Linked DNA regions of Arabidopsis thaliana. The protein of the gene in region 4 interacts with the protein of the main gene of each other region in a pairwise test. Each region holds a gene or a part of one and is shown on either strand. Other genes may lie near its edges. The genes, in order: CB5-C, CB5-D, CB5-B and CER1.

Region 1 (7,406 bases), on a different chromosome or scaffold from region 4:
AGAGTGATGTGTTTTACTTTTTAGGTTGTAAATACAAGAAAAAGTAATTTATATATTTTTAGTTTCAATTTATATTTACACCACATTGTAATTTAGTTAAAATCTAAAATATCAGAAATATTTGATTGTTAGCCCACAAAATTGTACGTTTGATTTTTATAAAATAAATTATGAATTCTATCACAGATCAAGACTGCAACAGGATAAATTAAAAAAAAAAAAAAAAACGCAACAGGATATTAAACTATAAAATTTAGTTTCCAAGATTCTGGTGAACGATCTTTGCAAGTCTACTATCACTCCGGAAACGTTTTTTTTTATTATATATAATAACAATCACTTGTTTAATAAGTTGCATAGAAACACGAATGTTTGGTTTGTTTTACCAAACAATTAACATTACACGGTTTAAAAAAGAAAAAAAAACTTTACTTAAGAAAAATATTCTCATATTTTTAATCGTCTTCTAGTAATATAATATAGAAATACTAACATTACATTTCGAAATTTGATTAATAAATCCCCTCTCGAATTAGTAAATTAAAAACCAACATTCTTCATTTCTTTGTGTCCTTTTTTATGACACATTGAATTCTGTGTCTTTAAAGTGGCAAAAAATAACCGACAGTATAAAGGTTGAAATTATGTGGAACGTTTTTGCTAAAAATAATTCTGTGTCTGTGTCATATTTTTGACACACACTGACACACATTCCTTCTTTGTAAGTATGCCCTCACCCATTTTTATTATTAAGTACGAATTTAATGGAATCTACTGCATTTTTATTTTTATTTTTTTTCGTCAAATGGAATCTACTGCATAAGTTGGTTGTTTTATCAAAATCAAGTAAATAACACAAAGCTCATGCTAGAAGAAATTGGGATTGGCATATATCAACAAAGGGCCTACTGATACGGCCCATTAACATAAAATAAATAAGACATTATAGTCCAATTCTGAGCGATGGGCCAAATGGCCCAAATCTTCACATAAGAAGCCCGTTATTACCAACAAACGAAAACCAAGAACAGTAAGAAACTCTTATCAATCTGTTCATCATAATTTGGTCTACTTGTTGTTGTAGAATCTGAGAGCGAAAGCAACGCCGAGTATCAAGAGAGGAATTAAGTAGATAAGCAGCTTCTTTCCAGATTCTTCTTTAGTTGTTTCCGCCGCCGTAGATTCCTTCTCCCACGGCGGAATATACTGTTGCGTCACCGGAACCGTTGACTGGTCAACGTCACCGATACAGTATTTCTTCATTAGCTCCTTGGCATCTTTGCTATGGTTCACATCTTCGAAATCGATCGACGCGTCTTTCCCTTTAAATTTTCATAAAAACTCACAAAATTACAAACCGATAAATTCAAACTAAACCGGAATAAACCAACTCGTACTCGTACGTACCGGTGACGGCGAGGAGAACATTGTCACCTCCGGGATGTTCGTCCATGAAAGTGCTGATGTCATAGACCTGTGGATAAACATGTGTTTAGAAACAAGTATAAAGCTAAAAAAACAGAGCATTTATAATCTATAAATTTGTTTACGTGATTTAAAGAAAGTAGAAATATGGACCTTTCCATGGATGAGAATCCAACAATCGTTCTTGCACTTATGTTTAGCCACATCGTGAAACGAAATTAGATTCGCCATATGATTACTTTTGGTTGCTCGTGCTGAGAAAGTAACTTGAAACAGAGAACTTTATATAGAGACTTCAAATAAACTAGGGTTGAAGCAAAATAAAGAAAGCAAGATCGTGAGGGGAAGAGTTTCTAGTTTCTACGAACCGATGAAAAGACAGTGCGTAGCTTATGGAGACCACACGCGTTATGTTTATATTGTAAGCTGTTGAATATTATTATTACTAGATTTTGATGAAATTACAGTCTTATTTGGGGTAAATAGTTTAATCTTAGCTCTTTGAAGATGTAAGGGAACAAAGCAATGTATATCTGACCAGTTAATATACATAGTTGTTTTTGTTGAAGTTTAATACTATTCTTTTCGTATAAAATTGTTATTACGAACAAGGTTAAAAAAAGGTACCTACCATAGTAAAACGTGAAGAATATGGAGTTTGTAAGTTAATGGATTGGTAGCTGAGAATGCCTCCAAGTGGTCAGCGACCTCAGGTTGGTGAAGCTCTTTCACGTTTTAGTTTTCTCTTATAAGAAAAAGGAAAAAAGAAAACAAGTCAAAAAAAGAAAGAAAAGTCAAGCCTCAATTTTCTTTTGTTTACTTTAAACTTTTAAAAAGCCTCAAAATCACTTTTCTGATTAGGCCCTTTTTCAAAATCACTTTTCTGATTAGGCCCAATAACGCACAAAAGGGCTTTCTGTTTTGAGTAGGATAATTTAGTCCTTTATCAGTTTATGACTTTAGGTTTGAAATTTCTTCAAAACTGACCAAGCTATAGCAGACATGATGGAATACTATCACAGATTCACGACAATCCACGATTTTAGAACGATGCATTGATATACGTATAAATAAGAAAACATATGACATAGTAATAAAATACAATATGCATAACAGGAACAAATACTAACAACTTAGTAATGTTTGTAAGAAGAAAGCAATACATCTCAACAGTCATAACAATACCAACACATTCTGAAATAAGAACAAAAAAATCACATATATTATAGGGAGTAGAACAATAGATCCAGAGATTGCTCTTGTACGATGTCGTCGTTCTTAGACTTCTAGGCCACGCAATCTGTCCACAAAGCATATATATACGAGCAAATGAAAGAAATAAATCATATCGAACCCCTAAACCAAAATAATTAAGAAATACAAACCTTGAATTTTAAGAAGATAATGTGACTCGAGAGCTTCACAGTTCCGAGTTGGCTTGTATGGAACGTCCTTCTTTAAAGCCTTAGTTGCATCGACATCTGGATGGATCTTCTTCTTCAACATCCTCTTTATCATCTACAGTAATATATACACATATATAATGATGCTATACTTGTTGACATCGAATGAATATTTACTCACATATGAGTACACTTATGAAGCAACAAAAGTGATGTAATTGTAACATGCACGAATAATTATCTAGATCTTGACGTGACATTGTTTCCCTTGAGCTATAGAGGCACATGTAACATGTTCATATATCCATCATCATCAATGTTTCATAGTTACGGAATTGACTAAAACAAATTTAAATACCTGACGCATTTTCTTGATTGGACGTAAGTCGTTTTCTTCCTCTTTGGACTTTGACATGACCAGCTTCTTCTTAACAAACGAGAACCTCTTGCTTAGTTTTGAACCGTTTTGTTTATAGTACTTAACCTCCTCACCGTCAAGATTAGGGTTATTGGGTTTCTTGCAATGCCACGTGTCATAACCTTTGTCGTGGTCCTCCATGAAAAGCTCCGCAAGTGTTGTCCTCTTCTTCTGTGGCTCTATCTCGGCCTCGGCTGCCGCCGTGACAGCTGGCGTTTCAGCGGTTTTGATCGAGCCAAAGTGATCAGTATCGGCCTGTACGTACAGATTCTAATACGAAAGATCTCAAGAAATTCAATATCAAGAGTCAAGAAGATATAATTTTATGTACTTATTTTATGTACTTATTTCTTTGCGTATAATGGCCTTAATTGTCGACAGAAAAAAAAATGACGATCTCGATTGACTCAAATGCAATTTCTGCATTTATATGTCTTTAAAGTCATATTTTGAAAGAAAACCCAAATTTTTGTAGATTAGTGAACGTATAATCCTTCCATTTTAGTTAACTTATTTCTACAATAACAATTAAACTAGTTTAAAGATTTTAAAATTTTGGATTCATTTGAATATACTAATCAAATCAACGTAAACGCACACGAACAATTGAAGCATATGCATGTCATATGTCTATATAATCTTCTCTATTGGTAAATCAACCCGAGGATCATAAAAATGTACTCAATAGAACTGATTAGAATACGTACCCCGACATCTTCATGATGATCATAAAACTTATTTTCAACGGAGATAAGAGGATCCGACTCTTGGTCGACGTTCTTGATGATGCTGCCATCAATTACGACGTAGTCGAGATCCCCACTCCCGCATTCATCATCATCCATTTCATCTTCTTCTTTGAAGTTCAAGGTGTCAAAGCCAAATGTGCCGATGGTGAGAACTCCATCGAACCAATTATCAAGAGCATCCACTAAACCAACTTGATCCAATATAGCTTTCGTGTTCTTCTCAATCTCACTTATTCCTTCATTCCTCTTCTTCTTCTCGTTTTTCCTCACACCATCTATTTCTTTCACCATATGAAAATAAATATAGGTTGGACAAAATTTATGCTTTAGCGAAAACGTGGTATACGTTAATATAAAACTATTTATTAAACAGGGAACCACATGATCCTATATGATACTACTACAAAAAGTAAACTACTATTTTAGTGAAGCTTACGATATTCTAATAAACAAAGGGAAAATAAAGCAAATTTGTTATTTTTTTATAAAATAAAGCTGATATTGATTATCTATAAAAAAAAAAACTAACCTTTGATGACATTTTGGTGCAGCTTTTTCTGCACCCAGTTAAAGATCTTCGAAAAATCCCGGAAAACAATTATAGATTTATAATTACGAACTATATGAAAAAAGGATTAAAGCAAAATAATTAACAACAAAATTTACGTACCGTCATAGTTTTCTCTATTTCTTCTTAGCAGTTGAAAGAGTGAAGAAAGTTCTCAAGCAAAAAAGGATAGTGTGAAATGAGAAATCTATTAAGACATTAAATAAATCATATAGGAGAGTCCTTCAGCTTCTGACACGTGTTAATTACAAAGAGTGGGTTGGATCGGTCTGACTTTTGGGAGGCAAGGCCAATAAGTAGGTGCCACATGTCACTTGCTAATCTGGTCGTCACACTATTCGTTGTCCCACCCTTAATTATTAAGAAATTGCTTTTTGACCCGATTACTTATAAATTATCAAAGTTTGACAAGAAAATTTTAATACTAATTTTCAGTGCCTCCTTGATCTTTCCGTGGTTCATTTCTTGTAATCTTGTTGGTAGACTTCTGTTGCTTTCAGTGTTTGTATCATTTGATTAGACATCAAAGGAAAAATTCGCTGCATTAAAGCGAAAGTTTTGGTTTCAATCAATTTTTAAAAATGGACGTACAATTTTAATATCTTATTTGAAAATGTCATATTCACCAGCTTTGGATTCCCTCAAGAAGGGTCCAAATATAGTGGAAGCAATTCGGTCACTGTGGTCACTATAATATAAATGTCGCGGAATGTCATCGCGGATCATTCTTCACTATCAACAATAATGTATTCAAACCCTAGCGTCAAATTTTCAGAGTGATAATCATCAACGTTTTAGAACGTTGACGTAAAATTATCTTCAAAATTGTAAAAAGCTATGCCATTGCCATTTCTCTTGACAGAAACAAGCTATACTTAAATTATTGACAACATTATTAAGTTGTAAATTCCAAATCACATGGCCAATCCGTTACTAATGGATTAATTGTAAAATGTAATAATTTACGGATTTATAATCTGTGACCAACTTTACTCAAATTCTTCAGTTGCAACTTGCAAGGTCTCAGATACCTATTAAATCCTCAAAGATACAATATTAAAGATTAGGAGGACTATATGCATAATGCATATGCATATGCACATGCAAAGTACCCTCTAAAGCTTTTTGAAGAGCACACAAAACCACACACATACTGTTGGGATTTGGACACTTCACTCTCCTTTCTCTTTGTCAGTTGCTTCTTGTTCTCGAATTTTTGGGATTTGGACATTTTTTCTTGTTATCTTTTGCCTAATTATATGGCCAATTTATTCAATTGCATAAGTTTTCGAAAGTATTGTATTATGATTTTATAAGGTAGTGATGTTTTTATTTGCTCCTGGTGAATTTTAAATATTCACAAAAATCGACTCAAGAACTAATAAAGAATAAATCAGCTTATAAAAGACCCCTCTGGCTTTTCAACTCCTCCAATTTCTATTTTATGCATTCAAAATGCTCACTTTAGTTCCCCACTTCTTTTTCAGATACTGTTACAATCACTAAAACGATTTGTGTAGAATAGATTCTACATTACAAAAAAAATTAAAAATATAAAAGCATATACATTGGTTGGGATATTTTTGTATAAATAAATAATGTGATCTTATTAGAGGGTTTATTGAAGCATGAGCTTTTCTCATAACGGACACAGGAACCAATTAGACATTTGAGTTGATTTGAAAGTCATTTGATTAATAATATACAAGGTTTGGTTCTCTTTTCTTCACATAAACTTGTCGCTTGTGGCACAATAATCTTTTGGATTCAATTATCCAAATCGTTACCCCAATTGATAAAAGTAAATATATTACGGTAAATACAAATTGTTTATATAGGCCCATAGGTATGAATATGGGCTTATGTAGTATACATCGGGCCTTCACAATAATATGGGTTTCATGATTATTATTAAAGCAATAACTGATTTCTCATTAATTACGTCAGAGAGAACCAATGCGCGCGTTTACAAAAGTAATTAAAAAAAGAAGTTCGTTTTAAGTAAACGAATCAAAGCCTCCATATAAGTGAGAGGGTTCCAAAAGCTTTAGAGAAGAATCAGAAACCATTAACCCCACTCATATTTTCTTTATTTTTTTTCATTTATTTTAATTAAATCGAATTTATTGCAATTTTAAATCCAAAACCTTTTTTTTTATTTTAGTTTAGTTTTTTTTCTTCTTTCATCAGTTGGTGTATCCGCCATTATTACCGTAATCACTGACATGAAAACCATTGTCGGAGCCAGGTTTCCGGGAGATTTTAAGATGAACGCCGGGATCATGATGAGATGCCGTCGAGTTGTAGACAATGGAGTTGTTTATCATCTGAACGTTACTATTCATAAAAGCTTTCATTGGGAGGTTACTATTGCCTTTGTTAGGGACGTTCTTCGTCGTTTTCTTCTTACCTTCTCCTTCGTCGCTGCTGCTACTGCTGCTGCTTTGAAGTCTCCGTCCTTTCTCTCCGGTGCCGTGTGAAACCCTAGAGGAATGTGTTCCTGAACCACCGGTTTTGTTGCCTTGAGGAGATCGTAGGATCTCCATTACTGCACCTTTGTTTTCACCTGCAATGGTGATGACTCGTGTGCTCATTATGTTCTCAGAATCGGACGAAGATGGTTGACGATGCATCTTCTTGGGGTTGTTGCCTTGATGGTTTTGGTTTTGGTTATAGCTATGGTTTTGGTTATAGTTATGGTTCTGGTTATAGTCATGGTTATGATTCTGGTTATGATGATTTGTTTCGTGGGTTTGGCTTGTTTTCTCGGCAGTGAGAATGTTTTTCTGAGTGGTTTCACGTTCGGAATGTAACAGAGAAGCTGGGAGAGAGTAAGGTGATAG
Region 2 (7,162 bases), on a different chromosome or scaffold from region 4:
ACAATGTTGCTTGAAAAAGGTTTGATCTTGAAATTTCAAAAGAGGGAAAAAAGTAAAGGAGAAAAATTTGGAGAGACAAGAAGTGAGTCAAGGGACCCAACAACAAAGACAAAGACAAAAACTTTGGATTTTGCCAAATACTATGATTAATGCTCATTCAACACTACTATTACCATTTCCATCATCATCATCTCTCTCTCTCTCTCTGGTTTTGGAAAACTGCCTGAGAAAAAACCTAGCCATAACCATCTTCTTCTTCTTTCTCTTGTTCTTGAACATAATTCTGCTTCATGGACAAGCATCATCATCAACATCTTTTATTACAGCATCATCAACATCTTCACCATCATCAGAAGCTCTCTCTTGCCAAATCATCCAGACAAAGCTGTAGTGAATGGTATGTTCTCTTTCATGAGTAATGTTACCAGTTGAAACACTTTAAGTTTCTCTGATCAAGAAACTGGTGTCTGCACATGGCTCTGTCTCAATCTTGCTAATGATGTTCTTTCTTGCAACTTTTTAGGATCTTTCGAGATGTTCCAAGTGATATAACCATAGAAGTAAACGGTGGAAACTTTGCTCTGCATAAGGTATATGCATACTTAGAACACAACCATCACTGCTTTCTCAAGTAAACCATTACTGAACATGCTTTGCTTCTCCATTTCTCAGTTCCCTTTAGTCTCTAGAAGTGGAAGAATCCGAAGAATAGTTGCAGAACATAGAGATTCAGATATCTCCAAAGTGGAGCTTCTTAATCTCCCAGGAGGAGCAGAGACATTCGAACTAGCAGCAAAATTCTGCTATGGGATTAACTTCGAGATCACTTCTTCGAACGTTGCACAGCTCTTTTGTGTCTCTGATTACCTCGAGATGACGGAAGAGTACTCCAAAGATAACTTGGCTTCAAGAACAGAGGAGTATCTTGAGAGCATCGTATGCAAGAATCTTGAGATGTGTGTTCAAGTCTTGAAACAATCCGAGATTCTTCTCCCTCTTGCAGATGAACTGAATATCATAGGTAGATGTATCGATGCCATTGCCTCGAAGGCTTGCGCTGAGCAGATCGCTTCAAGCTTTTCGAGGTTGGAGTATAGTAGCTCAGGGAGGCTTCATATGAGCAGACAAGTGAAAAGCAGTGGTGATGGAGGAGATTGGTGGATCGAAGATCTTTCGGTTCTGAGGATTGATTTGTATCAGAGAGTTATGAATGCAATGAAGTGTCGTGGTGTACGTCCAGAAAGTATAGGAGCTTCTTTGGTTAGTTACGCTGAGAGAGAGCTAACAAAGAGATCTGAACATGAACAAACCATTGTTGAGACAATTGTTACGCTTTTGCCAGTCGAAAACCTCGTGGTTCCGATCAGTTTCCTATTCGGGTTACTGAGAAGAGCAGTGATTCTTGATACTTCAGTTTCCTGCAGGCTTGATCTTGAGAGGAGGTTAGGTTCTCAGCTCGATATGGCGACTCTTGACGATCTCTTGATCCCGTCTTTTCGTCATGCAGGAGACACTTTGTTCGACATTGACACGGTTCACAGAATCTTAGTGAATTTCTCACAGCAAGGAGGAGATGATAGTGAGGATGAAGAGTCTGTGTTTGAATGCGATAGTCCACATTCGCCTTCACAAACCGCCATGTTTAAAGTTGCAAAGCTTGTAGACAGTTATCTTGCTGAGATAGCTCCCGATGCTAACCTTGACCTTTCTAAGTTCTTGCTTATCGCAGAAGCCTTACCGCCTCATGCTCGCACCCTTCACGATGGTTTATACCGCGCCATTGATCTCTATCTTAAGGTATGTTGCTACAAGAAAATTTTACTTACTCTTGTTGTGACTTGATACTTATTAGGTTTTATGCTCTTAGGCACATCAAGGGTTATCAGATTCAGACAAGAAGAAACTATCAAAACTTATTGACTTCCAGAAACTCTCACAAGAAGCTGGAGCACACGCTGCACAAAACGAGCGGCTTCCTCTGCAATCCATAGTTCAAGTTCTCTACTTTGAGCAACTCAAGCTTCGAAGCTCCTTGTGCTCTTCTTACTCAGACGAAGAGCCAAAGCCAAAGCAGCAACAACAGCAGTCATGGAGAATCAATAGCGGAGCTCTCAGTGCAACAATGTCCCCCAAAGACAACTATGCGTCTCTGAGGAGAGAAAACCGAGAACTGAAGCTCGAGTTAGCTAGGTTGAGAATGAGACTCAACGACCTAGAGAAAGAACATATATGTATGAAGAGAGATATGCAGAGGTCTCATTCGCGCAAATTCATGAGCAGTTTCTCAAAGAAAATGGGGAAACTTAGCTTCTTTGGGCATAGCTCTTCAAGAGGATCAAGCTCTCCATCAAAGCAGTCTTTCAGAACAGATTCAAAGGTACTGATGGAGAGAACTTGCGCAAGCACAGATTAGCTCAGTGTTTATCATTTTCTCTTACCTGTTGCTGCTTTTTAAGTGAGACTTGAGACTGGTGTGTGAGTGATATTGTAAATGGATTTGATTGATATAAGACAACAAAGGTAGATGGCTTAAAAATCAAAGGTCTATCAGTTGATTGGAATAGAGAATATAATGATGTCTTACAAGACAAACAGAGGTAGAGACAGAGTTTAACCACGTCGTACACAAGCAATTCACTTAGGCCACAATTCAATCTTTCAAGAAGAAGGAGCCTTGGTCTTAGTGTAGTACCGAATGCCGAAAGCCAAGCCTAAGATTAGAAGTGGAACAAGGAACTGAAGGAGCTTAATAACAAAATCCGAGCTCTTATCCTGAGTAGCCACGGCTTTCGTCGACGTAGGAGGCACAAACTTAGCTTTAACCGGCACAGTAGCTGTGTCAATATCACCCACATAGTACTCATCTAGCATGGCTTTCGCAGTCGAACTATGTCCCACATCCTCGAAATCATCGGTCGCATCTTTCCCTGAATACCAACAACACATTCTTGTTAACATAAACATGAACTAACAAACAGAGAAAGTGATCTCTATATGTTACCTGTAGAAGTCAAGATAACCTCATCACCACCAGGATGATCATCCAAGAACTTTGTCACATCATAAACCTATATATAACCATCAAAATGAAACACACAAAAAATGTAAACTTTGTCATATAAGTCCCTAATTCCACACAATCAGAGACCTAGATTAAGTGGGTTATCAAAAGTTCATACATCAGAACATACATGAACTACATGAACCTTACTAGCTTTAACTACAGATACAAGATCACACAGAGACATCTTAAGCAGCACCAACTATCACATTCAATTATAAAGACGTAAGTTTTTAGCAATTTCTCTGTGATTTAGACTTAGAAAAGTAACATTAATCTAGCAAATCAGATCAGATCTATCCCCAAACTTGTTACTACATAACTCTAGATTTATAAATCCAAGTCAACACAACTCAAGAATTTCGGATCTCACGAAGATAAGATGCAAAATCTAAGGGAAAACGGAAAATCGAATGAGAAACTGGGATCGGAGATGTAGGACCTTGCCGTCGATGACGATCCAACAATCCTTGGCGCTACTGTGCTGAGAAACCTCGGACAAGGTGAAAACTTTTCCGTCTCCGCCCATCTCCGATGATCTGCTGGTGACTGGTGAGAGTTGAGAAGAGGAAGAGTATTACTATTATTTGGGAATCTGTGAGTTTGGGATCTTACACCAACCGCTTTTTTGGTCTACTTAAGTTGTGTATGTCTGATCTCATCTATTGATGGGGTCGGAAATTAATCAGTGGCCAATAATCAGCAGTTAATCAAAGATTCCGTTTTCTTATATTATTTAAATGAATTTATTTTATATATTTAATTAATGTAGAAACTAAAACAATTTATAATGTTACAAAGAAAAAATGTTATAAAAAATCTTAGTATTGTATGTTTTTCCTTAAAATAAAATAAATGTTTTTAGTAATTCATGTTAGCTGATAATGTTTCTACTAAAATCATGTTAGCTTATTGATTTCCATGATGCTTATAATGTTTATACTAAAATCATGTTAGCTTTATGTACATCAATTTAGATAAAATCCAAACGTTTGGTGGTTTCGCCCTCTTAGACGTATGATCAATCGTGTAGACGGCTAGATGTTAGGGTAGACCATTCTAATTGGGCCCAACCATTCACTCGGTCCACAAGATCCGGATCTTTTCTTCAGTTGTCGATAGTATTTAGTTTTTTCATGAACTATAGCAATATGGACACGATGATTCATGGGAGGAAAGATATGGGGTTGTCTTCTTTAAAACTTGATGGCGCTTAAGATAAAAACAGTCAAAGAGACTTGTCGGAAGGCCAGTGTAACGAAAGCAGTGTGGTTTTAGTTATAGGCTAAATTGAATATGAATAATTGATCATAGGCCCAGTTTGTTGGTTTATGATTTTAGAAAGAATTGATAAGAGAAGGAGAATGTTTTGAGGTTGGAACTCTCCGACAGATAAATATGATGGGAAGAATTATTCACGGTCGTATATTTTGACAAGGGACCAACGGAAAGGAGAGCAGTTGCATGCATCACTCGTCTTTACACTATTTAGAAAGAAAATGAATCTTGTTTAGTGATTCATTTTAAAAAGTTTTTCTATGTGAACCTCATTCGCTAGAAGTAGTTTAAATGTATTTGCCTTAATCCGATCTTAGAACTGGATATTTGATATTTCTGTAATCAGTTCGAATGTATCTAACTATAGGGCTAAAACACCGACTGTATAGTTCTTTCGACATATATAGAGTGTGTACTTTGCTTAATGGAACCATAGGCATGTTAAACGAGAGCATTTAATGTTGAAATTCACTTCTTTTTTCAATGCATGTTTTGACTCACATTGCAAGGCCTATGGTTGGTGTTCAACGAGAGAAAGAAACTATACATGACAAGTTAAAGACATTTATTTTGAAGGACTAACCCAAAAGGAGAACGAAAGAGAGCTAGAGAAGAAGAAACAAAAAGACAAAAAGGCTTTCGTAATCAGTGCTCTTCCTTTTTGGCTTTTTACTACCAAATAGTTTAAAAGAGTCAAACAAAACATCGAACAAGCTGAATTCAGATACCCCATTGGTCACACAGTTGATGTAAGCGAATCTATATGTCCCAAAAAACATGATTTTTATAGTCAGTGAGCCCGTGATCAAACAAGCACCCGTGTACATACGTACACCATGTCCATATGTATAAATGTATAATATAATGAATGTATCTGAACGTTTCATGCATTCACTTTTTCACTTTTAGAGATTAAAGAAAAACATAGAACAATGATTGGGTTCGAGATAAGATTTCACAGTTTCATCACACTGGTTTTGCCAATTTCCAAGAAATGTAAAAAAAAAGATAAAACAACAGAGATCTTCTCAATGAACACTGTCTCATCTTTTTGTCAGTTTCTTGTTAATAATAATTTGATATTCAAGATTCAAAACACTCTTATCTCTTTACTAATTAGTACAAAATTCACCTTTGTGTTTGTACTTTTAACTCTGAACTTACATTACAGTATTTCAATGTAAACGTCAAAGTATTTACACACACATTCACGTGCGTCATAATTATGGTAAGAGAAGAAAAGGGACCAATCTTGTATAGTTGAAAGAAAAAGGATATGATTCAGATTTTTACACCTACCAAAATTCACACGTGAACCTCTCAATTGGGTCTCTTTCTTCTGCATCTGAATCATTTTTTTCACTATATGCCAAGCTTAAACATGTTCACACACATCCCTCTCAATCATCATCATTACATATAGCTTTGAATAAACATGAGAGATAGATAGAAAAACAAACACTTGAAAGAAACAGATGAGAAAATTTCACTAAGCATCTGAAGAAGATTAGTAGTACAAATGGTGTGAGGTTTTAAGGTCCCTAAGCTACTCTCAAACTTGTTCTCTAACCACATTATTACTTAAGATTACACGATTTCTGATGTTTGGTTAGTCTGTTAACTCCATCACATTCTCTAACTTCACACCATGTCTTTTGGAGCTGTTTCCTTTTGAACTTCATGGTTTGACTTGCACCCATTCGTAACGTCCGCTGAGGGGGATATCATTCACAATGTCGAAGTTGTACCTGAAGATTATTGAAAACACATGAGTGTTGTTCACCCTCTTCGTAATGACACAAAAATAAAATAAAGAATAAGCTTACTTCTCCATGAATAGCCTCTGTTGCTGCTGCTCTGCATATGCAAAGAACTCCTCCATTTCACTAGTGGTCGGGATCACGTTATCTTGTTCCCTTGTGTACTCTTTGGTTGCTCTGCACATCGACCTCGTGCTAGACCCTGGTGTAACCATGATCTCCATATCCTCAACAAAGTTACAAGGCGTGCTCTCCCTTGTGCTGCAGAAAAAAACACAGATAAAATAACTTCAATAACATTATCACCACAAAGACACTTAACCAAATCAAGAATCAAACCAAAACCAAACATCCAGAATAAAAAAGAGGCTTGGTTTAAGTAAACAACAAAAGCTAGAGACTTTCTAAGTAATATGGTCCCATAAGATAATAAATAACAAAGAGAAGGCAATCACCACATTGTCAACTAGCAGCAGGACGGTTACCCCAAAAAACAGAGGATCCTACAAAAGTATTCCCCAAGTATGCAAAAACCACTAGGTCCCATGAACATGACACCACAGTACTTGCATTACACTTATGAGGAAAGTCCCAATTCTCATATAATCTTACATATTAAAAGTTTCTGACCTTTATACAACAACCCACTTTTGTAAAAACGAAAACCATGTGTTTAAGTAAACCCCCAATAACCAAATCCCAATATTGTATACCCAATGTACAAATACTTCTTATGCCATTAGCCTAATAACAAGGAGAATCAACATGTTCTTAAACAAATTAAAATACACAAAAACAGATCAGAGTTTCACCAAATTTGTAACAAATAATGAAATACATATATAAAACGAAAATAGCTTTGACACATTCATTGATAATCTCTGCAATGAAGTACACATGGGACATACAGCAATAAATCAGATATAATGTAAATCTAACACCAAAAGAGACTTATACGGAGAAGTAGTAATAACAAAATTCAGTACATCACAAGAGAGTCAATTCATAAACAAAAACCAAACCAATAAGGGAAACATAAAAAACCTATTTTTCTCTTGTACTA
Region 3 (8,750 bases), on a different chromosome or scaffold from region 4:
AGATCCAACCTTTGGCCAAAATTTCTTCGACCTTGAAGAAGAACACACTCAAAGGTATCATCTTTCTTCATCAATTTCAACCTAATTTTTTGGGGGATTTCTTATTTTTATGAATCTGTGTGAATTTGTTCTGTTTCTTGAGAAAACTTTGGTATTGGATTTGAAAATTTCCGTTGTTAATTTGAAAAAAGGATCAATTTTTTGTCTTGTATTTGGTTAAAATTGAAACTGGCGTTTTCGATTTTGAAATTTAATGATATTTTTACCATGTGTATGATATGATGCCATCTTTTCTTTATCTGACAACACCAGACTCTTCTCTCTGTTTCCGGGAAAGAAAATATATATAATTAATCAAAAATGTGTTTCTTTTTTCTTGAGAAAGTTTTTATTTTTTCTTCAATTACTTTGAAGAAGGTGATAGTGACTATTGTTTTTTCTTCAGACTTTTTATCTGCTTTCATGTAAAGAATGTTGGATTTGTGTTTGAAATGTCTCTGTAAGTAACTCTTTAAAGTTTGGTTCGTTTTTGGGATTCTGCAAAGTATATGATGTGTCTCTGTAACATCTTAAGTTCTAGTTTCTCTGTCTTTTAATTTTTCTTGCTGTTTGGTTGTTTTTTGATGTTATGATTTCAGTCTAAAGTCGTGATCTTGTTGAACATTGTATGAGTCATTAACTTTTCAAGCATTGCTGAAGTAATCTTCATTGGAAGTTTCTTCTTTGGTTTTATGCTTTGTGAACTTTGAACCACAAATCAACAAGGAGTTTCTCCTTGTCCTTTTTTCAGTTAAACATGACTTGCTTAGTTTTAGTTATCTATATGCAATAAAGTTTGCTTGCTTTTGCTGCTAATTAAGGAAACACGGTTATGTGCTTTTTCCTTGAGAGCATTGTATGAAAGTAACATATTACTTACTCTCAGCTTCAACAGGACCACAAGGGAATCCACACCATGCAGTTTGATAAGAAGGCCTGAAATCATGACAACCCCGGGATCGTCTACAAAGCTTAACATTTGTGTAAGTGAAAGCAACCAGAGAGAAGACAGTTTGTCACGCAGCCATCGTCGCCGACCAACTACACCTGAAATGGACGAGTTTTTCTCGGGTGCTGAAGAAGAACAACAGAAGCAATTCATTGAGAAGTATGTGTTTCCTCGTTTCATCTGTTCTGTTCTTTTGGTTATGAGTTTCCAGTTTGTTCTGTTCTTCTCTTTTGGTCTTGTGTCTCTAATGGTTTCTGTCAACTCTTTCTTCAGGTACAACTTTGATCCTGTGAACGAACAACCACTACCAGGACGGTTTGAATGGACGAAGGTAGATGATTAGAAACAACAAAAAAATGGGGGGTTAATAGTTAATACAGAATATATTAACATTTTCCTGCTAATTATCGGTTTGATCTTATTACCATCATCCGTTTTCTTAACTTTTTCAACATGTAAAGAGCTTAGGAGAAAAAACCCATGTAGTGTTTTTAAATTGGTGTCTGTAACATAAGTGGCTGAAAAGGGTTTGTGTAACAGAACTTGATACCAATCCTTTTTAAGCCTATACAGATCACCTTAGTAGTAGTACTAAAGCCATAAGAGAAGGTTTTTAGAAGTAACCCAAAGTCTGTTTAGGGTTTAGCGTTTAGGGTTTAGAGTTCTTTCGGTTTAAGGGTCAGTGTTTTCTTTTATGAATTCCGGTACAGGGGGACTCTGCATTCTCTTAAAACTCTTTGTCCTGTAACCATTTTAAAAAATCTATCCTTTTATGTGTATACATGTACTGATCTCAAACTCTTTTCAATAAAGACTTATCCTTCTCTTTTTTGTTCTCTTCATCTTAAGTTCTTGTTCTTATCATCATCATCATTATGGTCCATGTGTTGTGTTCTTCAGACATATAACATCACAATGACAGGTAGGTAATACATGTCTATATATACACAATTGTATACTGATAATAGAGAGACAGAGAAGCTGTTCGTTATGGATATGGATAGTGTCTCATAGTGGTCTTTGTTTTGTCTCTGTCTTCTCACTAAAATCAAAAGTGTTAGAAAAAGATTCTCTTTCTCTTTCTCTTGCTCTTGTGTGAGTCCATTGTACTTTCCACTCTGTGAGATTTGTGCCCACTATATTATCTTAAATATGTAATTCGTACCCACTCACTACATATCATCATCATCATCATCATTATGGTGATCGTCTTTTGATCAATCATCGAAACTTCGTCGCGTCTTTGCTTGTCATAAGATTCGTTTTCTGATTGTATTGATTTGAGTCTACACACGACAACGTTTTGAATGAAACAGTCCATAGTTGTCAACTTGCCACAGAATCCATTCCAATCTTTACTTAAATGAAATTTATTGCTCTCGAAGTTACAAGTATCGAACTTTGTGTCTGCGGTTGCGACTTCTTGCGGCCAAAGCGGTAAAGAGGTACAAAAAGAGGGTCCTACAGTTGCAGAAGAGTTTTTGGATTCTTCGTGTGGATATGTTTTTGTGAGCTCAAGTCACTAACTGCCACACACTCTATCAAGTAACTGCCAAAACAAACGTCTCTTTCTCTTTGGAATTCGTAATCTGTTGTTTTTGTTTCTCCTTTTCTCAAAGTTAATTAAGTGTTCTCTTAAGCATTCAATTAGTAAGATCATGGCCTTGTTTTGATAGTTCCTTGGTTACTTTTCTTCTACAGATCTCAAACAATACTAAACCAGACTTTCAAAACAGATCACTTATTAGTCATAACTTCGGTTTCAGAATCTGAAATATAGATGAGATGTTCATTAGTTGCATAAGGCAAAAACACCAACAAGACTGTTGTTTATATGCAGTTACACCACAATAGATAAGAAATTATCCAAAATACATTCAAACAGCAAAATATGGGAAGAGACAATAACAAAGGGAGAGACTTTCAGATTTGTCTTTTCAAAAGACTTGAATCTTTCTCTCTATATATAAGATATAAGGAAGTAATGCTCAGAAAAAAAAGAAGCCTACCCTGATTTGGTGTAGATACGGATTCCGACTGCTAAACCAAGAATGGCAAGGGGTACGAGGAACTGGAGGAGCTTGATTATGAATTCAGAGGTCTTGTCTTGATTGTAGTGAGGCTGTTTAGGAGGTGTGTATTTGACTTTCTTTGGTATTGTTGTTGGATCAATCTCTCCTACGTAGTACTGCTCCATCATTTCTCTTGCACTCTCGCTGTGACCCACGTCCTCAAAATCATCCGTTGCATCCTTACCTGAAAAGAGAATAAGAATCAAAAACCGATGGATTGATCTCCACTAAGCCGGGAGCATGGTGATAGTTGTGTTTATACAGACCTGTTGAAGACAAGAGAACATCGTCCCCACCTGGATGGTCTTCAAGAAACTTGGTCACATTGTACACCTGCATTTTTTTGCAAATGTGTGAAGTTAGGAGAGGCAAATGAAACCCAATTACAGAACTTCTGAACTTTGAAGATTTCTTGTCAAATCAAGAAGTTTAAAACATGGGAAGATCCACTTCTGAGGCTTATGATTAAAATGTAAGAAACAATGGAGCAACAAAAAGAAAAGTTCTTAGGTTATCGCTTTCTTTGGACTAAACAAGATATGGTGCATATAACTCTAAAAATCAAACAATAGGAATAGAAAGATGAATACTTGAAACAAATTACTGTACCAACAACCAAGTCCAGAGATACATTTGGGATCTTCTGAACTTGATAAAAAGGATTGTTCTGTGTACATAGCAAACTTGTTGCACAGAGGTAAACTCCCAAAAAAAATGAACTTAAGTGACAATATTAATAAGAAACATAAACTACTGATGGAACAACAGACCAAAACATTTAATGTTTCCTACTTTCTTGTGATAATCTACTGATTTCACAAACCAATCAATGAAGAAAACAAAAATCAAGTTCACTATGAAGGGAGGCTCAAGGATGTATCTACAGATTCCTTCACAAGTTAATAATCACAATACAAAAACGATCGATCTTCAGGGCAAACAACTAATCGACAAGTGTCAGTAGTCCATCCCAAGAAAGGTTGATGTCGATCAAACAAACTCTAAAGACAATAAGAACTATTTCTACATTTCTCCATCTTCAATCAAAATTAGAAAATTTTCAGCTGATAAATAGATCAAAAGAGCTAAATCTTCAGCATAAGCTTAATAACTACACCATTTTCTACTCTCTCTACCCATCTAAAGATTTGATCTGATAATTTTAGACTTAGAAATCTGAGACTTCAAAAGCTTAATCTCATGCAAACACCAAAAGGGGAAACTTTGAAGCACGAGATCTCTAATTTCAGAGGTGAGAATAAGGAGAAAGAAGAATGAAACCTTTCCATTGATGACAATCCAACAGTCATGAGCTTGATTATGCTCTGAAACTTCTGAAAGAGTGAAGATCTTTGCTTCGTCTCCCATTGTTTGTTTGATTCTTGTCTACCAGAATTAACCCACCAAAACCTGACTCTGAGACTTAAAGCTCAAAACTTTATACAAGAGTGTGAGAGAGAGTTGTTGAGTTAAAGACCATTTGACGAATCAGTTAAATTCCGGTTTAATTTGGTTCGTTCTCAAAGTAATCGGTTGGTGAGTTTTGGAAGCTTTGAAAACCGGTTTAATGAAAATTGATTTTGAGTTTGTTCTCACATAGTCTGTACCTAATTGCTGCTCTACTGTTTTGGCCTTATGGTATTCATCTGTACGATTTTGAAAACATATGTGCCAATGTTGAACCGATGGGTTAAGTGGTTTGGTAGTAGTTGTTATTTCCGGTTGAGTGGATGGGGTAGGTAGGTAGGCAGTGCAAATGTTGCGGTTGTGCGCTCTAATTCTGCCTTTTTCATTCAAGATCGGTAGGTGAATGATGTGCAATAAATTTTATTATGGTACATATGAATTCTTTTCTCATAAGTAATATTTATGTAGTTTTATATTAGTAGATACAACTACATAAGAAAAATAAATTGCCGCTGCTTCATACCAACTGACCTTATTTATTAGGGACACAAATCTTTTTCTTTCTAAAGCTTATATAAAATGTACATATTATTCAAAATCAATAGATTGACCGGTGAATTTCTGACCTTGTAAACGAAAAGAGGTCTGAGAAGTTTCAAATTTGAACCATCGACAATGAAAAAAATACATTAGCCATGTTCTCTAGAGAAAAACAAGCAGGTTAACCAAAAGATTAGAACCATCATTTTCTTTATGTTTTTTAGTACCAAATAATGTTATTAAAAGAAAAAGTTATACTTTTAGGACCACCAAATCTTTTTCAATACTAAAAATTGTTGCTTTGAAAATATTAAATACAATTTACACATTAAAAAAAACTAATATATATATAATTTTAAAATGAACAATAAATATAAATAACTAAAATCGTGTTTGTTTGTTCATACACTATTTTCATTGAACTTCTGATACGATAAACAGATAACTAAAAAAAAAATTGAATGCATATGTTTTTGAATTACATCTTGAAATGATTTATAAGCTAAATAACTAGATGACTTTGTTACATAATCGAGCTAATGGTCGACCACACCATCATCATAGTTTACGCTTACCATTTCGTGTAATGAGCTGAATCGATTTATGATAATTTTGTTTATAAAATTTGATTAACCGACTGTAAGTTTATTAATTTCTCTATGATGCCTTGCATATCTCTATAAAGCTTTGTATTATGTTCTGAATTGCAACACATTTTATTGATATGATATGATGATAATTTAGCAATTAGGGTATCCTAAAAGCTCCTAAAACTTAAAATTGTATGACCAACCAATTTTGTAAAAGCAATAAGGAGTTTTTGTAAATCTTCAAAATATATTGGATCCATAACTCAATAACACAAAACTTGAGACTAAAATCATAATAAAGCTATACATTCGGGGCAGTTTTTAATATCCTGACTTGTTGGGTAAGTCTCTAAATATTCGTAGTTTGCATCCAAGTCCCTGACTTACTATCTTCTCCCAAATCTCCTTTTATTTTTACTTTCGTCCTATAAACTAAAATAAATAAGGAAAACACTCTTCTTCAAATCCAGTAGAGAGATTCAAGACGAGTCTCATCGAAAGTTCGAATCTTTCGTCATCTGATTAGCTTTCTCTTAGGGTTTATTTCGATTTCGATTTAGTGTTCTCCATCAATGGCGACACCCATGGTTAGTTCCGCTGGAGGATTACTAGCAATGCTCAACGAGCCTCATCCTGTTTTGAAGCTTCATGCGCTCTCTAACCTCAACAATTTGGTTGACCAATTCTGGCCTGAGATCTCCACTAGTGTCCCCATCATGTAATTCTCTTTTAAACCCTTTTTTTCCGGTTTGAGATTTAGGGTTTTGTTCTCTCACTTGATCTGTTTTTTTATTCGGGATATTCTAGAGAAGATTGTGGGATTTGGATTGTTTGAGCTGTGGTTGTGTGTAGGTCTTCTCGATTTGGGTATTAAAGTTCAAAATTTTGAGTGAGGGATTGATAGTTTGTGGCGATGCAGATTCAATGGGTAGGATAAGAAAAGTAAAGTTTTTTATTTTACATGACTAGCTTTAGCAAGTTCTGTAGTGATCTTTATAGATTATGAATGAGTAATTGTATCTAACTTCTTCCTGGACATGATTATGTTCTTTTACTCATGTAATGTAAAGGCTTGGATTCGTTTTGGTTTATCATCGTACATTCTAGTGGTATAGATTCCAGTTGTAGAGGCTGTGCTGGCGCAATGCTTAGGGTTTTATGATAATCTCTCTTTAATGATTTGCACTACTTGACAGCTTGACTCGAGAGAATTTTTTTTTTTACAGTGAGAGTTTATATGAAGATGAAGAATTCGATCTGCATCAAAGACAGCTTGCTGCTTTGCTGGTCTCTAAGGTGCGATTTCACGATTGTTAAACTTAAGTTTTGTCTAGTTGCGGATAATATTTGCTATATGTTAGTGGAGGAATGTTTAATTGTTGCTCTGAATACATTATGGTTATTTTTCTCCTTAAGAGCTGGTGGATAGTGGTAGAATTTTGGGACGTAGCCTTTTTCTAATCACGTTATATGTTTGTTTTACAAGATATGGGTTTCTTGATGATCGTGGTTGTTTTATCGCAGGTTTTCTATTACTTGGGCGAGCTTAATGATTCGCTGTCTTATGCCCTAGGAGCCGGTCCCTTATTTGATGTTTCAGAGGATTCTGATTATGTTCATACGCTTCTGGGTGAGGATTGAGAAGTTTGTTGATGTTTTTACTCTCTTCATGCTGTTCTCTGTCTGTAGACTCTAGCTAGGGTAACTGTTTAATGCAAATTGCTTACCAAATCAACTTGTCTCAACTCTCAAGGCAAGAAAAGCCTATATAGCCTGCACGACTTATTATCTTAAAAGTAGACTTGAAGCTTGTACATCCAGATATTGTTCTGCCTTTAAGTAGTATAATACTAGAAAAAGACAGATAAGTTGACTATTTGAGTTTTAATAAATGCTGGATGAATGTATACTCATCAGATGCTTCTTTTAAAATTTCAGCCAAAGCAATAGACGAATATGCCAGTCTCAGATCAAAGGCAGTTGAGTCAAATGAGATGGTGGACATTGATCCCAGGCTAGAGGCGATTGTTGAAAGAATGCTTGGAAAGTATGCAATGCTTATACATTTAATGCTCTTGTTTTCATAGTGCTTCAATTCTTCTTACATGGTTTTCCTTCTGCAGATGCATCAGTGATGGGAAGTATCAACAAGCCATGGGCATTGCGATAGAATGCCGGAGATTGGATAAGTTGGAAGAAGCTATCATTAAGAGCGATAATGTTCAGGGAACTTTATCATATTGCATCAATGTTTCTCATTCCTTTGTCAACCGCAGAGAGTACAGACATGAGGTGAGACTGATGTTCTTAGACAATAGTTAAGTAGAAAGGTGTTCTAATTCTATCGACTGATTAGAACTGTATAGTTTTGCCTCATCTGGAAGATAATGTGACCATTTAGTTTCTATGTTGCATCTTCCATTACCATGCCTGCAAACATGTATGCTAGCATCCTCTATGTCCTAAGCTGTAGCCAAAAGTCCTGTTTCAGTTTTCGTGATACCTATCTGAGATGTGTCAAGGCCTGAATTAAAAAAATCTCCCTTTTCTAGGTCTTTTAGTCTAGGCTGTTTAGTTTAGTCTTTATTTAAAAAAGGTGATGACATACTTGTCTACTCTTTCAGGTGCTTAGTTTACTTGTAAAAGTCTACCAGAAGCTGCCCTCTCCTGATTATTTGAGCATTTGTCAATGCCTCATGTTTTTGGATGAACCGCAAGGTGTTGCAAGCATATTGGAGAAGCTTCTTCGCTCAGAGAACAAGGATGATGCTTTATTGGCATTGCAAATTGCATTTGATCTTGTAGAGAACGAGCACCAGGCCTTTCTCTTGAGTGTTAGAGATCGCCTTCCAGCTCCCAAAACACGTGCTGTAGAAGCAACTCAGGCTGTTGAAACAACTATTGCTCCTAATGAGAACCCTTCGGGAGATGTTCAGATGGCAGATGAAACTCCAGCTCAGACAATTGTGCATGAGACGGATCCAGTTGATGCTACATATGCTGAGAGGTTAACAAAGATTAAGGGAATTTTATCTGGAGAGACATCTATTCAGCTGACACTGCAGTTTCTTTACAGCCACAACAAGTAAGTTACTGTTGCAGTTTTGATATCTTCAAGGGATATTTTTTCTTCTAAAAATCGTTTATTCCAGG
Region 4 (9,643 bases):
TACACTAGGATTTTGGAATGGGCTTTGCTGTATGAGGCCTTCTTTACAACCAAATCCAATAAGGTATTTACTTTCTTCATTCTACTTTTTTTTCTTCCTTTCTTTAAAAAATTGTTTTAACCAAAACTAAAACTAATTAGTTTAAAACTTTCACTAAAACATTTAAATAAATAATTTTTAAGGTTTTTATAAATACTAAATTAATATGACGTTATAAAATCTAATCGGATTTTGGATCCCGCCATTTAACCATGGTCATTAGCAATTCCACAAATCCAACATGTTTTTCACATCTTCATGTATATTTAGCATTTATTTTTTATTTTATTTTCTTAAAAGGTTTTTAATTCTTTATTTTTTTTGTCTTTTTTTTTTTATTTTATTTTCAAAAGGTTTTACAAATACTAAATTAATATGACGTTGTGAAATCTAACCGGATTTTGGATCCCGCCATTGAACCGTGGTCATTAGCGATTCCATAAATCCAACATGTTTTTCACATCTTCATATATATTTAGCATTTATTTTTTTTATTTTTTTTCTTAAAAGGTTTTCAACTCTTTCAATTTTTTTTTTTTAAAAAAGGTTTTATAAATATTAAATTAATATGACGTTGTGAAATCTAATCGGATTTTGGATCCCGCCATTCAGCCGTGGTCATTAGCGATTCCACAAATCCAACATGTTTTTTCACATTTTCATATATATTTAGCATTTATTTTTTATTTTATTTTCTTAAAAGGTATTCAACTCTTTCGATTTTTGTTATCTTTTTATTTTTTATTTTTAAAAGGTTTTATAAATACTAAATTAATATGACGTTGTGAAATCTAACCGGATTTTGGATCCCGCCATTTAACTGTGGTCATTAGCGATTCCACAAGTCCAACATGTTTTTCATATCTTCATGTATATGTAGCATTTATTTTCTTAAAAGGTTTCCAACTTTTTTATTTTATTTTATTTTAAAAGGTTTTATAAATGTTAAATTAATATGATGTTGTGAAATCTAACCGGATTTTGGATCCCGCCATTTAACCGTGGTCATTAGCGATTCCACAAATCCAAAATATTTTCTCATCTTCATGTATATTTATAATTTAATTTTTATTTTATTTTCTTAAAAGGTTTTCAACTCTTTATTTTTTATTTTTTAAAAAGTATTTACAAACACTAAATTAATATGACGTTGTGAAATCTCACCGGATTTTGGATCCCGCCATTTAACCGTGGCCATTAGCGATTTCACAAGTCCAACATGTTTTTCACATCTTTATGTATATTTAGCATTTATTTTTATTTTATTTTTTCTTAAAAGTTTTTCAACTCTTTTCTTAATTTTTTTTTAGAAGGTTTTATAAATACTAAATGAATATGACGTTGTGAAATCTAATCGGATTTTTGATCCTGCCATTTAACCGTGGTCATTAACGATTTCACAAAGAGTTGTCCTAGGTTCAATACTCATAATTTAAATTTTTAACACTTGTTTTTATTTATTAAAAAATGTTTTTAAAATTCTATTTTTATATTACTATTAAAAATTATAAAGTTTCGTTTTTGATAAATGTTAATTTTTTAAATTTTGTGTAACTTAATTGGACATAACATCCAAACCCCAAAAAGGTGTCTTAGGTTCAATACGGTTTACACATTTTTTTAATTTTAACACTTGTTTTTATTGTTTTTAAAATTATATTTTTATATTTCTATTAGGTTTTGTTTTTGATAAGTGTTAAATTTTTAAATTTCATGAATTTATTCGTAACTTCATATTTTTATTTACATAATTATTTTTTAAATAGTACATTATCACTAATTTAATTATTTGTTAGTTTATTTAAGAAAACCAATAAATAATTTAAAAAACGGTGGTGGTATCCGTTTTGCCCGGCTCTAGCCACTGTGTATGAGAACTAACTACTAACTAACACCAATCAATGTATTCAAAACGGTTATTGACCACCAAATGATTTGAATAAGATAGGTGTTTCTCCTATAAGTGATGAGAGACCATTTGAATTGTCCTAGTAATAGCATCAAGCGATCCAAATGCTATGTTCTATGCTACTTAAATTTTGTAGAACTATAAAGTCTAGGAGTGGGAGAAGAAAAACTTAGATATTCTGGAACATGTTTGCTTTATATATATATGTTTCTTAGTTCACAAAGAGAAAAGGAAATAGTACTCTTATTAATACCATAGTCACCGAGCTTAATTTGACTCTATCAATACCATAATCACCAAAAGCTTGATATGCATAAATATATGTGTGCGCTTTATATATGTTTCATAGTTCATTTGTGCGTGGAAGAGCTGGATCATAAGGAAAAGAAGCACAGAGCGTGTCGCTCTCATTCTCCTAAAATCTTCCAAGGTTGGAGTTTTAATGATGTGGAAGGAGGAGAGGCTGGAAGCCGTGGCTGAGACAGGCTTCCCATACTTGGTCCAAATCCGAGAGAAGAAGGGATGTGCCACACTCATGCATTTCCCATCCTTCTAAGGCGTGCAATATGCCGGCCACTCTAGTTGCACTCATCGCCTTTCTCGGTAACCAGTTCTGCAGATGTTTTTTTTATAATAAGGACCTCTTCTAATAAATTAGTTGGATTGGGTAGCTTTGAATGCTTACCTCACAGGAGTGGACATTCACCAGAGATTTTGGAACTATCAATGCTGGTGTGGTATGATAGATACAATCTCTACGTAACTGCTTGAGGGGGAACTGTGAGAATGGTATAAACAATGTCCCTTTTGTGGCTTTTTCCTGCTCTTCTCTTGTTGTTCCTTCTCCCACCAGCCATACCTTCACCCAAAATCCCTTCATTAGTTTTCTTTATATAAGCTCTTTGAATATTTTCCTTCTGATTCTTTGATTAATTGTGCTTCTTTTGTATACTGAATTACCTTGTTTGATGAGAGTGCTTCAGAGGTTAAATAGACCAAATGGTCTCTGCATTCTTGTGGAACGCATGATCTTATTTTCTCATACTCGTCTAGGCGCAGAGTGGAGACCTGCGGATGACATTCACATGAAAATGTTACGAGTCATGAGCATAAATACATGTAGATAAAGCTTGGATTTTATTTTTCTCCTAGAGATCATCAATTTGATATCACAACATAGGAGCAAAAGGAAAACAAAGGACCTGAACGCCTCTCTGGCAGAGAGCAGAGGCGATGGTGTAGGCAACCTTAGTGAGATTGCCTGTCATCACGACGCTTGTAGTTGCTTTGGGTACACTGTTGATCACAACAGCTGCTGCTAATCTACTGCCGTCGACCAGTCTCACTTTCATATCTGGATGGTTGTGGATATACACCTCTCCGTTCCTGTTAAGCTCCTCCCCCTGTTTCAGTTCATCAAATTAAAGCTTTAACATACACTACGTAGTACGTACGGCATCTACCCAATATAAAACCAAAACAGTCAGAGATAGTTTCTTTACTTGGTTCATGAGACCCAGACTAAGCACCTTCACTCCTTTCTTATCTGCCTCCAGTATCGCTTTCTCAATCATGTTATTGATCGCTTCTTTCCTCCATTTTAACAAGTACTGCATGCATCATATATATATCACCATTAATATATATGCATCAGCAAGTTAACCAGCCTATATATATGATGATGATGATGATGATGATGAGGACCTGTAGATTATATCTAGGTATCACCCAAGACTGCAAGTTGAGCTTGTTGAAGGAGTTTCTCTCAGCGACAAAGAGGCGGGCGTAGAAGAGCGTGAATATCATGGAGAGAGAGGTGAAAGGCCACAAAAGGCGCATGAACCATCTATAAGCGAAGGGGTAGGAGGCAAATGAGGCCAAGCCAATGCGCAAATGGTATATGGATTCTGGCGTCGTCAGGTGAGTTAAGTGCACCACGTCCACTATATCATCTCCTCTTTCTAGAGTTTTCTCGTACAACGTATCCGTGCTTTCATCCATTGTGCCGTAGATGTAGTCATACAAGGGCATGAAGAGGGAGTAGTTGGTCCGGAACTGCGTGTGGTGCAGCGAGTGGTATCTGCAATTCTCATGCTCCATTTATTATCCAAACTTTAATGTATTTTAACTATTAAATTTTGCTTTCACATTGCGCTAAATTAATACCGAAGGAAAAAAAGTCACAAATATTTAAAAGTAAATATGAATCCAGAAGGTTTAATATAACTTGAGCGTTTAGAGGGACCACCTGCTACATATCGACTAATGAATTTGATATTTAAAATAGTTCTCAAAGGATGTTTGGTTAAAGATGCTATCAATGCGTAAAGTTGTGGGAAATTGGATTATGTGCCGATAAGTTGAACCATGTAAGATATATTAAATAATTGTTTTTTTTTCTGTTGTGGTCCAGGGATTCAGTAGTTGACGATCATATTAAGCATACAACTGTATCACGTCACCTTTATTTTATACAGGAATGGAGTACGTGTATGGAATTCTATTATAATAGCATATATCCCCTGTATTAGTATGATTTATCATTTGCTTAGATTTTATGATGACCATAAGAGGATTAATTAATATGATCTAACTAGGTATTTGTATCAGATCATCAAGAATGGTTTCTTGTAAATGCTTTTACTACGCCAAATTGGTAGTGTATGAAACAGAAGAGGAGTTGTTAATTAAGGACTTACGAGGGGGTGTAACAGAGGAACTTGAGGGGAGGAAAGAGGTGGAAAAGGCGCTTAGGGATTAGCTCGAAGTTGCAGTGTCCCATGTTGTTCATGAAGTCTATGTAGATTATGTATCCGGCGAACGAAATTATTGACGCCGTTTTTGTTAGCAACGTGGTAAGTAGTGGTATCGCGAAGAGGATGAAGTATGCTATGTGCTCCGCAAACGGATGTATCACCGCTGCATACATTTGATCAAATCCCATTATATACAGATAAAAGCTACTAGTTAGGACGTGAACGATGTATATTTTACGTATAATAATTATAAAAAGAAAAACGGAAATATAGGCAGCGTAAAAATCAAGGTAAGAAACAATAGTTACAAGTGATGGGCTCAGTGACGATAGAGGAGTGGTGGTGGGAATGGTAGCGGGAATAAAGAAAGTGATGGTGGAGAGCTTTGTGGAGCCAATAATAGAGGAACTCCACCGGTCCGGTGTGAATAAGCGCTGCCATCAACACTCCGTCAGTTCTCCACCAGGGAAGTTGTTTGGCCTCCGGCAATAGGTTGATGCCTATATAGAACAGCACTCCGTTGAACAATATTTGGTCATCCCTGCGCATATATCAGGATTTCATTAGTTACGTTGATTACATATACTCACGAGGCACGCAGGTAGTTAAAAATTTAGAAAAGCGCACCAGTTGGTCTCCCTGTCGACCTGATTGAAGTCGATTCCCTTGTCGACGATGCGTCTCTTTCCCGAGGACGTATAGTAACGGGACAGAGAGATCCAAACCTGGTTGTGCAGAATTCTGAAGAGCAAGAATGGGAACACAAGGAAGTACCCGAGATCCCTCTTCTCTGGATCATCTGTCACAAACCTGTATGTGCTATGGACAGCCCATGGTGCTATTACGATGTACTTTTGTATTGTTTCAATGTCAAGAAAAACATATATATCAGTAACGTAACGGGATTCGATCATAAGCACGCGTTTTTTTAAATTTAAAGGACAAGAAAACAGAGTGCACCTTGAAACTTCCGAGGGGTGTCCAAGGCCAATCGGTGAGGACTCCTGGTTTTGTGGCCATTATACCGTCGAATGTAATATGTTTGTGTCGTCACTGTGTCTCTTCAACTCTTGTGAGCCAAGGTACATTATATAGCAAGGTTTATATTAAACTCCTTAATTGGTAGATATGTGGAATGACGTAACCACCCCTATCTTCCCACCAGTCCAATTCCTTGTGGTGGGGCCAGCTAAGACCAAACATGTACTACTACCATTCGATGATCTCCACATGGATCCTCATTTATGACACTCAGCTAATTACCCCCTCCCACCTTCATCGATGTTCTGATATCATATCCATGCCTTGAGGAAATGCACCGGTTGATGGATGGCTTCATATATTTATTTCTGGATATTATTGAAAGGTAAGGGTATTTTACCAATGAAAGAATACTAATGAACCAAGTTGGGCATGTGTTAGGTATTGATGCTTGGAATTTACTAGCCAATCAAGATCATGCACGTTGAAGCGCCAGCTAGTGTCTGTTGCTCCGACATAAATGAAAGAAAAGTGAAAATATCTAGATCTAAGGACTAACCCCTTATACGAGAGCTATGAATAATACTTGTACGTTTCGTTTTTAGTAACTCCATCTCCCACCGCCACAATTTATATACGTATACGCACCCTACCAATCCTTAATTAGGTAGCAAGTGGACCATGCGGGGTAAGGACCATTTAAGTAAAAACCTCGTCCAGTTTTTGCAACTACTTTGATTTGATGATGCACCCAAATATATTTTGTTTTGTTTTTTTGTTTATTTTGTTAAATAGGCACGCAGATATATATCACTTAGTTAAGATGTAATGATCATAGCACTGTTTCTGAAGATTTTTATTGAGTTTTATAAAATTTAACTAAGCATATCATACGACGAATTTTTTTGCCCTTTCTAACATATATGAAGCACGTGGCACCAAGGGTAACAAGGGTACTTATATATTGTCGATAGAAAAACATAGTAAACAGCAAACAATGATGGAAGGGAAGTAGATATAATCAAGAAAGGGGACATAGATGTATGAATATGAAAAAAGCTCATAGAGGAGATGGTGGGAGAGGTTGGAAATCATGGCGAAGAGCAGCTTCCCATATGGCGTGGAGACGGAGGACGTTGCAAGTGTTGCCGCAGTCATGCTCCTCCCAACCCTCAAGTGCATGCACTATACCTCCTATTTTCCATGCACTCATCACCCTCCTCCCCAGCCAGTTCTATATATATATAACAACCATTCATTCATTATAGATGAACACATCTATCAGCTTATATAATATAAAAGTTACAGATATATCTATAAGAATTCAAAGATGTACCTCACAGGAGTCGATGTTTTGGGCAGACTTGGGAACACGCATAGCTGGAGTGGACTGGTAGAAACAGTCCTTGCGGAGTTTGTTGGGCGGAAAGTGAGAAAAGGGAACAAAGAGGGTTCCTTCTTTTGCTTTCATCTGCTCTTCGTTCTCTATTCCATCCCCCACCAACCACACCTTTGGGGAGTAATAACTATTGCTTGTAGACAGTACCAGATTCTTGTCAACCCCAGATTTGATGAGTTTGCTGTGTTCCTCCTCGCGTAACACGACCACCTATATATACACATTACTACATTATTTTTTGTTTGATATGAGAAGCTGAGTATATATATTCCAATTCCCTCATATATTCACAAACCTTGACGCCCTTTTGGCACAGAGCAAAGACAACAGCCGAAGCCACCTTTGTGAGATTTCCTCTAAAGACAATTTCCGTGGCTTCCTTTGGAATATTGTTGATAACCACCGTAGCTGCCATGCTGCTCCCGTCCACTAGTCTTATCTTCAACTTCGGATACTTTTGCACGTACATTTCTCCAGACCCGTTTAGTTCCTCCCTCTCATTAATTAATTGTGTGTTGATTAGTTACTTTTTTCTTTTGCCAGCGTGTGTAATTAGTTACAGTACTTATCCAATAGTGATTCATATATATTTAGGGGGATTTGAAGTAAATAAACTTACATTGTTCATCAGGCCAAGACTCATTACTTTCACACCCTTTTCATCTGCTTCAAGGATAGCTTCCTCTATGATAGTGTTGATGGACTCATGGTGGCGCTGTGATTTATACTACCGCCGCATGTTTATGAGGCAAAATTATTAATAAACTTTAGATGCAACTTACAAAAGGTATACCCACAAGAAAATGTTCATTGTTCATTTTTAGGTTGTTTTAATTTTCTTTTTGTATAAAAGGTTATGTCCTTCCTACGTAGTACGTACAAGTTAAGTGAGAATCAATGTTTTTTTTGTGTGTGAAAGTTTGGAAAATAGTGGTGTGAAGTACAACATAATAAGTAAACCCGTTTGTGTCAAGAGAGCGAGAGAGAGGGAAAGTGCATATGCATGCGTGTAAAATGCTTACGTGAAAGGAAAACTTGGGAAGGAGGTGAGAGTGAACGGTGAGGTCACGGAGACGGTTTCGCTCAAAGACAAAGGTGCGCAAAGGGATAGCTGAAGTGAGGGCAAATGAGCAGAGGAGAGTGAAGGGCCACATGAAGCATGTGAGGTACCATGGGGGTCGAGACCACAAGGGGCAAGAGGAGAGGGACGGGAAACCAAGGCGCATTTGGTAGATGGAGTTGTGTGTGGTGAGGTGAGTGAGGTGGATGACGTCGGGTGATTCTTCCTCTATCTCCAACGACCTCTCGTATAGTGAGTCGGTCAAATTATCAGTCGTCCCGTAGATGAAGTCGTATATTGGCATGAACAGAGAGTAGTTGGTCCGGAACTGCGTGTGGTGGAGCGAGTGAAACCTTCAACATATTTGATGCCATGTTATAAATGCATGCATATATTCAAATCCAAATAAATAGTAGTGTTTTTACAAACGACGTACGAGGGGGTGTAACAGAGGAACTTGAGGGGAGGGAAGAGGTGGAAGAGACGCTTAGGGAAAAGCTCGAAGTTGCAATGTCCCATGTTGTTCATGAAGTCAATGTAAGTAATGTATCCCATGATGGAAACGATGGAGAGGATCCCACACAGGGACGCCGTTACCATAGGTATGGCAAAGAGTAGTGTGTAGGCGATGTGCTCGGCGAAGGGGTGCACCACAGCTGCCAAGTTTGATTAAAGATATGAATGAATGTATATAGAATAGAAGCAAATGGTGGATAAAGGTACGTACACGTGATGGGCTCGGTGACAATGGAGGAGTGGTGGTGAGAATGGTAGCGAGAGTAGAGGAAATGGTGGTGGAGAGCTCTGTGAAACCAGTAGTAGAGAAACTCGACGGGACCAGCGTGAAGTAGAGCCATGAGGATGGCCCCGTCTAGCCTCCATGGGGGAAGGTGGGAGGCGCCTGGGAGCTTGATGTTTGCGAGATACATGAGGAGAGTGTTGAAGATGACTTGGTCGTCCCAAGTGCGCTCTCGGTCCACTTGCTCAAACTCAATGGGCTTGTCCACGATCTTGTTCGTTCCCTTAGCCGTCCTCTGGCGAGACACGCTGATCCATATCTGGCTGTGAACTATTCTCCACAGCATCAACACGACTATCATAAGTCTGCTGAGGTCTTTCTCCTCATCCACAGCCGTCACGTACGAGTGCATGCTCGCCATCACCAACGGGGCCACCAAGAGGTACTTGAAGCTACCAAGGGGACTCCATGGCCACTCCGTAAGAGCTCCGGGCCTCGACGCCATCCAAAGGTACTTGAGCTAGTCTACTGTCGAATAAGTTTGAAGGAAGTGCAATTTGGAGGTACTTGTTTATAATGTGACATAAGAATAATAATAATACAAAGTATTATATAGAGGCATGACCATGTGGGCTCTGATGATACAGTGTTGAAGAAGCACATGGTGGTGGAGCCCCGGTTTACAATAGTAGAAATGTTACAGCAACATTTAATTTAAGAAAAGGAAGGAAACCTCAAACTTCAAATATGTAAGGAGAGG

What was found.
Region 1: the proteins of CER1 (region 4) and CB5-C interact in a two-hybrid assay, tested with the Arabidopsis thaliana proteins (one study listed by BioGRID).
Region 2: the proteins of CER1 (region 4) and CB5-D interact in a two-hybrid assay, tested with the Arabidopsis thaliana proteins (one study listed by BioGRID).
Region 3: the proteins of CER1 (region 4) and CB5-B interact in a two-hybrid assay, tested with the Arabidopsis thaliana proteins (one study listed by BioGRID).

The regions. Positions count from the first base shown.
Region 1 is NC_003071.7:19,146,057-19,153,462, reverse strand, and holds CB5-C (cytochrome B5), read right to left. Parts: upstream 1,983-7,406; 5' UTR 1,657-1,982; coding exon 1,579-1,656; intron 1,475-1,578; coding exon 1,408-1,474; intron 1,323-1,407; coding exon 1,069-1,322; 3' UTR 724-1,068; downstream 1-723. Other genes in the region: AT2G46640 (NAD-dependent protein deacetylase HST1-like protein), read right to left, coding at 2,782-2,943, 3,187-3,516, 3,954-4,276, 4,525-4,570, 4,666-4,671; AT2G46630 (serine/arginine repetitive matrix protein), read right to left, coding at 6,750-7,406. UniProt on the Arabidopsis thaliana protein: Membrane bound hemoprotein which function as an electron carrier for several membrane bound oxygenases, including fatty acid desaturases.
Region 2 is NC_003076.8:19,786,591-19,793,752, forward strand, and holds CB5-D (cytochrome B5), read right to left. Parts: upstream 3,783-7,162; 5' UTR 3,591-3,782; coding exon 3,504-3,590; exon of another isoform or gene 3,069-3,503; coding exon 3,002-3,068; intron 2,928-3,001; coding exon 2,659-2,927; 3' UTR 2,477-2,658; downstream 1-2,476. Other genes in the region: AT5G48800 (Phototropic-responsive NPH3 family protein), read left to right, coding at 291-397, 524-590, 673-1,797, 1,868-2,413; ICK6 (inhibitor/interactor with cyclin-dependent kinase), read right to left, coding at 6,018-6,087, 6,166-6,360, 7,117-7,143. UniProt on the Arabidopsis thaliana protein: Membrane bound hemoprotein which function as an electron carrier for several membrane bound oxygenases, including fatty acid desaturases.
Region 3 is NC_003071.7:13,874,020-13,882,769, forward strand, and holds CB5-B (cytochrome B5), read right to left. Parts: upstream 4,692-8,750; 5' UTR 4,429-4,691; coding exon 4,342-4,428; intron 4,340-4,341; exon of another isoform or gene 3,738-4,339; coding exon of another isoform or gene 3,651-3,737; intron 3,394-3,650; coding exon 3,327-3,393; intron 3,245-3,326; coding exon 2,994-3,244; 3' UTR 1,793-2,993; downstream 1-1,792. Other genes in the region: AT2G32710 (Cyclin-dependent kinase inhibitor family protein), read left to right, coding at 1-54, 926-1,147, 1,262-1,331; AT2G32730 (26S proteasome regulatory complex, non-ATPase subcomplex, Rpn2/Psmd1 subunit), read left to right, coding at 6,170-6,315, 6,824-6,893, 7,122-7,227, 7,536-7,644, 7,721-7,889, 8,222-8,682. UniProt on the Arabidopsis thaliana protein: Membrane bound hemoprotein which function as an electron carrier for several membrane bound oxygenases, including fatty acid desaturases.
Region 4 is NC_003070.9:414,899-424,541, reverse strand, and holds CER1 (Fatty acid hydroxylase superfamily), read right to left. Parts: upstream 5,795-9,643; 5' UTR 5,725-5,794; coding exon 5,665-5,724; exon of another isoform or gene 5,619-5,664; coding exon of another isoform or gene 5,556-5,618; coding exon 5,332-5,555; intron 5,246-5,331; coding exon 5,013-5,245; exon of another isoform or gene 4,893-5,012; coding exon of another isoform or gene 4,868-4,892; coding exon 4,648-4,867; exon of another isoform or gene 4,049-4,647; coding exon of another isoform or gene 4,029-4,048; coding exon 3,653-4,028; intron 3,559-3,652; coding exon 3,451-3,558; intron 3,352-3,450; coding exon 3,151-3,351; intron 3,017-3,150; coding exon 2,909-3,016; intron 2,823-2,908; coding exon 2,634-2,822; intron 2,562-2,633; coding exon 2,388-2,561; 3' UTR 2,284-2,387; downstream 1-2,283. Other genes in the region: AT1G02190 (Fatty acid hydroxylase superfamily), read right to left, coding at 6,746-6,919, 7,022-7,294, 7,380-7,580, 7,704-7,811, 8,107-8,497, 8,581-8,800, 8,872-9,388. UniProt on the Arabidopsis thaliana protein: Aldehyde decarbonylase involved in the conversion of aldehydes to alkanes. Core component of a very-long-chain alkane synthesis complex. Involved in epicuticular wax biosynthesis and pollen fertility.